2 linked regions of the Elephas maximus indicus genome follow. The protein of the gene in region 1 purifies or fractionates together with the protein of each later gene. This does not show direct contact. Links are inferred from orthologs where the notes say so. Each region holds a gene or a part of one and is shown in the gene's direction. Other genes may lie near its edges.

What was found. Proteins that work in one complex are often made in the same cells at the same time.
Region 2: the proteins of PRPF4B (region 1) and PRPF6 purify together in Homo sapiens (affinity purification with mass spectrometry; 3 studies listed by BioGRID and IntAct, with this or other methods). This does not show direct contact. The link is inferred for Elephas maximus indicus from reciprocal best matches to the Homo sapiens genes PRP4K and PRPF6.

What each region holds. Positions count from the first base shown.
Region 1 is NC_064819.1:45,206,219-45,209,965, forward strand, and holds the start of PRPF4B (serine/threonine-protein kinase PRP4 homolog), read left to right. Parts: upstream 1-1,158; 5' UTR 1,159-1,236; coding exon 1,237-1,373; intron 1,374-3,747. UniProt on the Homo sapiens protein: Serine/threonine kinase involved in spliceosomal assembly as well as mitosis and signaling regulation. Connects chromatin mediated regulation of transcription and pre-mRNA splicing.
Region 2 is NC_064843.1:4,138,286-4,142,032, reverse strand, and holds the start of PRPF6 (pre-mRNA-processing factor 6), read left to right. Parts: upstream 1-1,347; 5' UTR 1,348-1,438; coding exon 1,439-1,509; intron 1,510-3,279; coding exon 3,280-3,448; intron 3,449-3,747. UniProt on the Homo sapiens protein: Involved in pre-mRNA splicing as component of the U4/U6-U5 tri-snRNP complex, one of the building blocks of the spliceosome.

The sequences.
Region 1 (3,747 bases):
GCTTGACTGCTAACCAAAAAGTCGTAGTTCAAATCCACCAGCAGCTTCTTGGAAACAGTATGGAGCAGTTCTACTCTGTCCCATACTGCTGCTATGAATCGACTTGATGGCAAAGGGTTTCAGTATCTAGATATATGGTTGAAAATAAAAACCATTCTTGATATATTTCTGAAAACTTTTCCTTCAAAAGAAGTCTTCTAAGTTATTACACCTGAATCTGATTGTTAAGGATGGGAGTAATTCTTTCTTAAGAGAATATAATTAAAGATCCTATAAAGATATGCTACAATCCTGGGGAAAAAAATCCACAAAAGTCAACAATTATCTAAGGAATAATTTCGTATTCCACATTATTAAGGGGGGAGGGAGGCTTAATACTTTCAACACTTTTGGAATTTAGTCAATCAGTGCCTTATTTGGTAGAATATTTGGAACTGTTCCCCTATGGAAATCCAGAAACGTACTCGAGGAAAAATCCAAACTCAAGAGTATGGAGAACGCTGTCTTTTTTTTTTTTTTTTGAGAGGAATTTAGGAACTTACCTGGCTCACCAAGAGCCAGTAAATGTTGTCACATACAATATTTCATTACTAGAGTCCATCATTAAGGAAAAACAAAACCACACGAAACAATTTGGACCAATAAATAAAAAGAATTCATTAAAAAAATCAATCGTCAGAACCAACGAACTGAATGACTCCTGAATCGTGTTATTCTCAGACTTAGCAAAAGTTGAAACTAAGTTCCAAAGTTCCAAATAAATATATCAATAATAGTTCCATTTTAAAAGACGTTTACATTCTAGGTACAGTATTCTCAAAGTGCACTTCTACAAACCTTCCCTTAACGCCCCTTCAGACAATCGTCTAGCCAGGTTACTATTCCCGTAACACAGCCCAGGCTCAAAATAATTATTTCGTTTGCCCTGGTTTAAGAAAAATTCTAACCCAATTTCTGGGCCCCACAGCAAATCAGTTTTTGGATCTGCACACGCGAAACCCACATCCTACTCCCTTTGCTGCCTTCTCCAGAAACCTCAGGACCACATTCCGGGTTTCCGCACTGACGAAGCGACCCAGAACGCCAAGTCGTCCGCCCTTAACCCACACGCAAGCACCGCCCCCAACACCCCGGAAGTGGCATCATGACGCTCGGCGCTTGTCCCCGGATGCAGTGTTTTATATCCGGATTCTTAGAGCGGACTCACAGCTTCGTGTTCTCCAACGCGTTCAGCACATGCGCGACGGTTCCTTTTCCTCTTCCTGCACTACTGCCTGCCTGCACGGTCCGGCCAGCCGCTGCCGCTACCGCCAAGAAGTCAGGAAGTTCAAGATGGCCGCCGCGGAGACTCCGTCGCTGCGGGAACAGCCAGAGTAAGTGGTCTCTGTTAGTGGGGTCCGAAAGGTCGGGGTTGGGTAATGCCGAATGGGAGCCGGCGGGGACCTGCACGGACGGGCGGGAAAGTTGAGGCCTAGCGGCGGGAGGCAAACTTTCTTTCCCCGCGCGGTACGTTGTGGGGCGGCAGGCGTGGGGAGAGGGCGGGCGGCCTTGGAGCCTCGCTCCCCCAGAGACCGTGGCTGTTGGGTCGGAGGAGTCGGCGGCTTGCCGCGCGTCGTTGCCCCGGGAGGCGTAGGCGCGAGCGGCCTCTACAGGTGCGGTGCGCGGGGCGGCTGCAGCGACCCTGAGGGTCGCGCCTTGCTCTTCCTCCGACGTGGAGCGGAGCTCCCTGTACGCGCACTCACCGGCATCGGTGCTGGGGACCCGAGAGGCAGTGGCGGCAGGCGTCGCAAGCCCTAAGTCTTTTCTTGCCTATGCAACACCTCCGGTCGCCGTGTTATCGGTGTTAGTTTTAAGATCTGGAAGCAGAGGGAGAGAATCCGTGCTGGGGTCACACTCTTGACCATCCCAGATCTGTAGCTTGTGGACAGCGGGATACTTCCATATCCTCAACCTTGTACTCTCTTCCAGCGACCGCCCGGTATTTTTTTTTTTTTTTTTCCTGTTCATTGGCAGTTTACTTGCCAACTTGCAAACTTGAGTCAAAGTAAGGTAGCAGTTTTTAGTGTTGAGGCCTAGCATTTTTGACCTGAGCTTTTTAGGACGAGAAGAAGAAATAGTGGAAATTATTAGTTATTTCCAAACCAAAGGATTTTATGTTTATAATTAAGTTAATATAAGAGTCTAAGCCAAGTGAAAACATACTTTTGCGTGCTGCACAGGCTCAACATTGCTTAACTAAAAGCAGTATTTTATTTTTCGTGTTTATGTTGGGAAAACTGCAAACAATCTGAAAGAAATAGATCGTTAAACAGTATTCCTATAGCGACCGTTTTTTGCACGGGTGTTATCAGATTTGTTTCTAGCCATCTTAGGAAAGGGGTAGATAAAGTCTTGCAGCAACTTGTGACTGGAAGATGGGAGAAACCTTTGCCACTAGACGGCCTGTGTGCATCCTGTTATGGGCTCCTCCGTGTGATTTGCTTTACTGGGCAGAGAATATACGAAGTTTTTCAGTAAAGACTTTTGAAAGCTACTTAGTATCTTCACAGTTTGACTTAAGATTTCCGAACTAGTGTCATATAGACTTAGTCTCCTATTTTTCTGACTGAGTTCACTTGTGGTACAGTTATAACATTTATACCAATGCAGCACAAATCTCATGCTATGCAGTTGATTTTTCTAGTAGTCTGTGAAAAGTTCTGTAGTAGTATGTCCATTTAAAAAACCTCGTGGGGCAGTTCTGTTCTGTCACATGGGGTCACTGTGAGTCTAAAGTGACTAGGTGGCACCTAACAACAACAAATTTGATTTCAGGGGATGGTTCAGATTCATTTTGAGCAGTGGTTCAGCGATATTTTATTCACATTCGAATAATACTAAATTTAAAATAAACTTTGTGTGTGTGTGCGCTCACACTCGTGTGTGTATATACATATGTATATATCGAAACTCTTGCAGTATGAATGGCATCCATCCCCGCCAACAGAGCAGTTGGTGTTAATGGCATTTTACTTGGTCTTAACGTGTCCCACTTTCACTTATTTGGAAATATTTAACAAAGAAAATGAGTTTGATATGAAAGCAAGAACCATGCATGCTGCTCAATAGAGTGCTCAAATACAGTGTCTGAACAGTTCTTCAGAAGACATTGAGTAGTTTACAATTATGGTGCAGTGCAGTGAATCACTTTTATATGGCTTTTCTCAGTATTATCTTGTAACTCCCACCAAATGACCGGGTAACCCACTGCCATCAAGTTGATTCCGACTCATAGCGACTCTATAGGACAGAGTAGAACTGCCCCATAGAGTTTCCAAGGAGCGCCTGGCAGATTTGAACTGCCAACCTCTTGGTTAGCAGCTGTAGCATTTAACCACTATGCCACCAGGGTTTCCAGTGACTAGGTAGGACTATGCAAATAATATGCTTTTCCAATCAGAGGGATTGGACAGCTTGATAATAATGCAAATAAGGTATATGGCACCCTTGTGGAGAAACAATACAAATAAGGTGTATGGAACCCTAACGAGGGAATTGGTTAGTTTTTTTTAAAAAAAACAGAAATTTATTCTCTCACGGTCTAGTAGGCTGAAAGTCCAAATTCAGGGTATCAGCTCCAGGGGAAGGCTTTCTCTCTCTGTGGACTTTCACGAGGAAGGTCCTTGTCATCAATTTTCCCTTGGCTTAGGAGGTTCTCTGTGCAGGAACCCCAGGTCCAAAGGCTCCTGACACTCCTTTCTTGGTGAT
Region 2 (3,747 bases), on another chromosome or scaffold:
AGAGGTGGTCAGCCGGGGCCAGGGGCAACCGTGCGCACCTGGGCACGGCTCCGGGGACGCGTGTCCCTGTGCACCTGCTGGGGGCGGGCGTCTGCAGGGGCCTCTGGGTGGGGTACGTGAAGACATGTCGGTCCCCCTGTGTGTGTGGGGGGGGCCTTGTACATCCCTCTGGGGGCTTCTCCCCACGGAGCCCTCCCAGCCACGCCTCCCCTCCTCCCTCACAGGCTTACTCGCTTAGCCCTTCAGCACAGTTCTACGGACCTCTCCCCGGGCCTCGCTTCAATATGCACCTGCTTCCTCAGAGATGCCAACTTGGCCTGCGCTTCCCTAACCACAAGGCGCTCTGAGGACCCAGCGTCTTTCGAGGACCCAGCGTCTTTCCCCTTCCCTCAGTAGCCCCAGAATCTGGCTCAGGCTTGGACGTTATATGAGACGCAGTAACTGAGGGGGGAATGGGTCTGGTGTGGGGAGGGACGCCAAGGAAGGCTGTAGCAGGTGGGAGGGACCCCCAGTGAGAAGTGATGGGCAGGCTGGGAGCAGGGAAAGGCTGGTGCGGTCCACCAGAAGCCTGGTCTCGCATGTTCGTGTAAATACGTGCATGCACACGAAGTCTGACCTGGACAAAGGCCCCACAACACACATGAACAAATGCTCTCATAGAATTCACTCGCGTGCCTGGAGCCCGCACACGTATGCTCATGCGACCATCCACGGTATGTATCTGTTCTTGTGAATTAGACTGCATTCAGGGGTCTCTTGTGCCAGGAGCTGCCGCGCCCTCGCTAGAGTATCCAGGGCCTGGGGGGTGTGGGGAGGGGTGTGGGGCGCTTTGCTGACCACCAGGGACTGGTCAAACTGGGGCCGAGGAATCTGGCGCCAAGGTGCAGGGGCGAGAGTGTGCACACAGGGTGTCCCCATCACAACACAACCCTGCGCAGCTGCGCACGCCCCGCTCAGGTGGTCAGCCCTGCCAGGGCCACTCGGAAGGGCTGCTGGGTCGGGTCAGAGGGAGGAGACCACACGGTCCGGGCCCTCGGGCAGGTCTCCTCGGGCACCGCACAGAGCAAACACTCGGGAAGCGTAAAGGCCATAGGCTCAGTTTTGGGGTTCCGCGGGTTTACACAGGCTGGTGTTGCCCTTTGACACCTCGGGCCGGCCGGGCACCTCCCACCTCGCCACAAGCTGGCGCTCCCGCACAAGCGCCTGCCGGCCCCCCAGTGCTACAGCCGCGGCCGGAAGTCGTCGAAGCAGCGTTTCCGGAACTTCCGGCCGGGGAGCCTGAGGGGCGGGGCTTCGCTTGGATGGCGCACTCTGCTTCCGGGGCGCGAGTGACGTGGGGCCGCGTCCTCTTCCTGCGCCCAGGCAGTTGGGTCTCTGCTTTTTCGCTGCGGTTGCGGCCTCACTTCTTCTCTTCCCGGTCTTTGGCGTTACCGCGGCCATGAACAAGAAGAAGAAGCCGTTCCTGGGCATGCCCGCGCCGCTCGGCTATGTGCCGGGGCTGGGCCGCGGGTGAGGCCTGGGTCGCGGGGCCAGCAGAGGCCGGGCGGGCGGGGCGGGACGCGCGCTCCGGGAGGGGATTCCGGGCCGGGGTCGGGCGTAGGGGCTGCTCCCTCTGGCCCGGCCCGGTTCCGTCCGCGGCTCTGCTTGCCTGGTCGACGCTGGAGGCCCGCCCTGACTCTGCCCGCACTTCTACCTGGAGGCAGCAGGACCTAGGGCATCCCGTGGATCGCGACGGGGAAGACAGACAATAGTAAATGAGGCTCTGAGAGATACTAGGTGGTTTGGCCTAAGCCCTGTGGGAGGCAAGGGGCTTTGGAGTCAGGACAGACCTGTCTGTCAACCTGCCTACTACTTAGTAGAGTGTTTCTGGGTTTAGGTACATATCTGAGCCCTTTTTTGCGTCTCTCCAGTGGGCGATAGATAATGCCCGCTTGAGATCCGCTGTGATAGATGAATCCCTGACATGTAGTGGGAATTCCAGGACCGGCTTCCCCAGACGGGGCAGGCCCACTCCTCCAGCTTGTCTTGCCTTTCCTCAGCGCCCGGGCTGGTTAGGTCCCTCTGTTGTGGCCACTCCTAGTGTTCCATTCTTTCTCTTTAGTATCTGCCATCATAAGCTGCTTGTTCAGAATGTCAGCTCCACAGGGGCTGGAATGGCATCTATGAACTTTGTGATTGGTCTCCCACACCTGCAACACAGATGGCCACCCTAGGTTGTTGAATAACTGAGCAGTCATTATCCTATTTGTTTGGATATTCATTTGGTTTGGAAAACTACTGCGTTTCTCTCTTGTGAGTACTAAGAATCTGTGGGGTACACGCAAGACTCAGATGTTGACCCCCTGTACAGAGGAGCTGCCTTCACTAGGGAAGGTGAGGTATTTGCATAAATAACCACATAAAGAGGAACAGGTTGAGAAGCCTTTGATCCAGATTTAGGAGGAGGGTCAGGTTTAGAGATGCAGAAACATGGCAGGGGTAGAGGAGACTGACATTCTGTATGTGGTTAGTGAAAAACAGGAGTGGCTTGGAGGGAGACGGAACAGCATGGAGTCCCATATGAGTGGAATGTGCAGTGAGTAGAAGGCAGCTGGAGGGGCCAGTGGAGCATTGCACATTAGGTTAGAGCTTGTGTCAGCATTGGAAAGACAGTGACATGTCATCTTGTGTTGAAGCCTGGATGAATCGGGTAGAGCAAGGGAAGGCTACAGGCAGGGGTGGCTAACTTGGCATCCAGCTATATTGGGGGCCATACAATCTGAGGAGGAGAGATTTCAGATGTAGAATCAAAAGAACTTGGAGCAGATTGGATGGGGCTGGGGAAGGAGGGAGGGAGGGAGGCAGAGTTGATGCCATGTGCTGCCTTCAGCTGAACTAGGGTACCTGGAGCAGGAGAGGAGTGCAGTCTTGGCCAAGTAGGGTTTGAGAGACTGATTGGAGTGGAGGTGGAGATGATCAGCGGGGTGTTGGAAACATGAGGCTAGAATTTGGGAGGTGGGAGGCCATGATGTCCTGTGCAGGGAAGGCTTGGGTGAGAAGAGGTCTCCTTGGTGGCGCCCAGGGTAGGTTAGAGGGGTCATTGCCTAGAGGAATGAGCACACCAGTGTGTTTGCAAGTGGCCATGCTTAGCTTACCACCCCAGGGTCTTTCAGAGGTTTCTGAGGTGTTAGAGGGGTGTTATTAAGCGATGGTCGAGGTTGGAGAGGAAAACACAGGAACAGGGTCACCCAGATGTGGCAGGGGGTGGAATCCATATGGATGTCCTGGGGTCTCCTGCAGTGCCACTGGTTTTACCACCCGGTCGGACATTGGCCCTGCCCGGGATGCGAATGACCCTGTGGATGACCGCCATGCTCCACCAGGCAAGAGGACCGTTGGGGACCAGATGAAGAAAAACCAGGCTGCAGATGACGATGACGAGGACCTGAATGACACCAACTATGATGAGGTAATGTGTGGTGTCTTCTGTGGCTCCCTGGCCAGTCCCTGAAGGGAAGGGCTGGACAGCTTCTGTTTTTTTGGCTTTAACAAACAGGAACTTCTTTCACAGTTCAGGAGACTAGATTTCTGAATTTAGGGCTCCAGTTCTAGAGGAAGGCTTTTTCCCTCTGTCAGCTCTGGGGCGAGGTCCTCGTTTCAACATTTGTGGACCTTGTGTTCCTTGGGAATCTACATGTGTCTTGGCATCAGTCTTACCATGGGTCTGGGAGGATCTCCGTGCAGGGACCGCAGGTCCAAAGGACATAC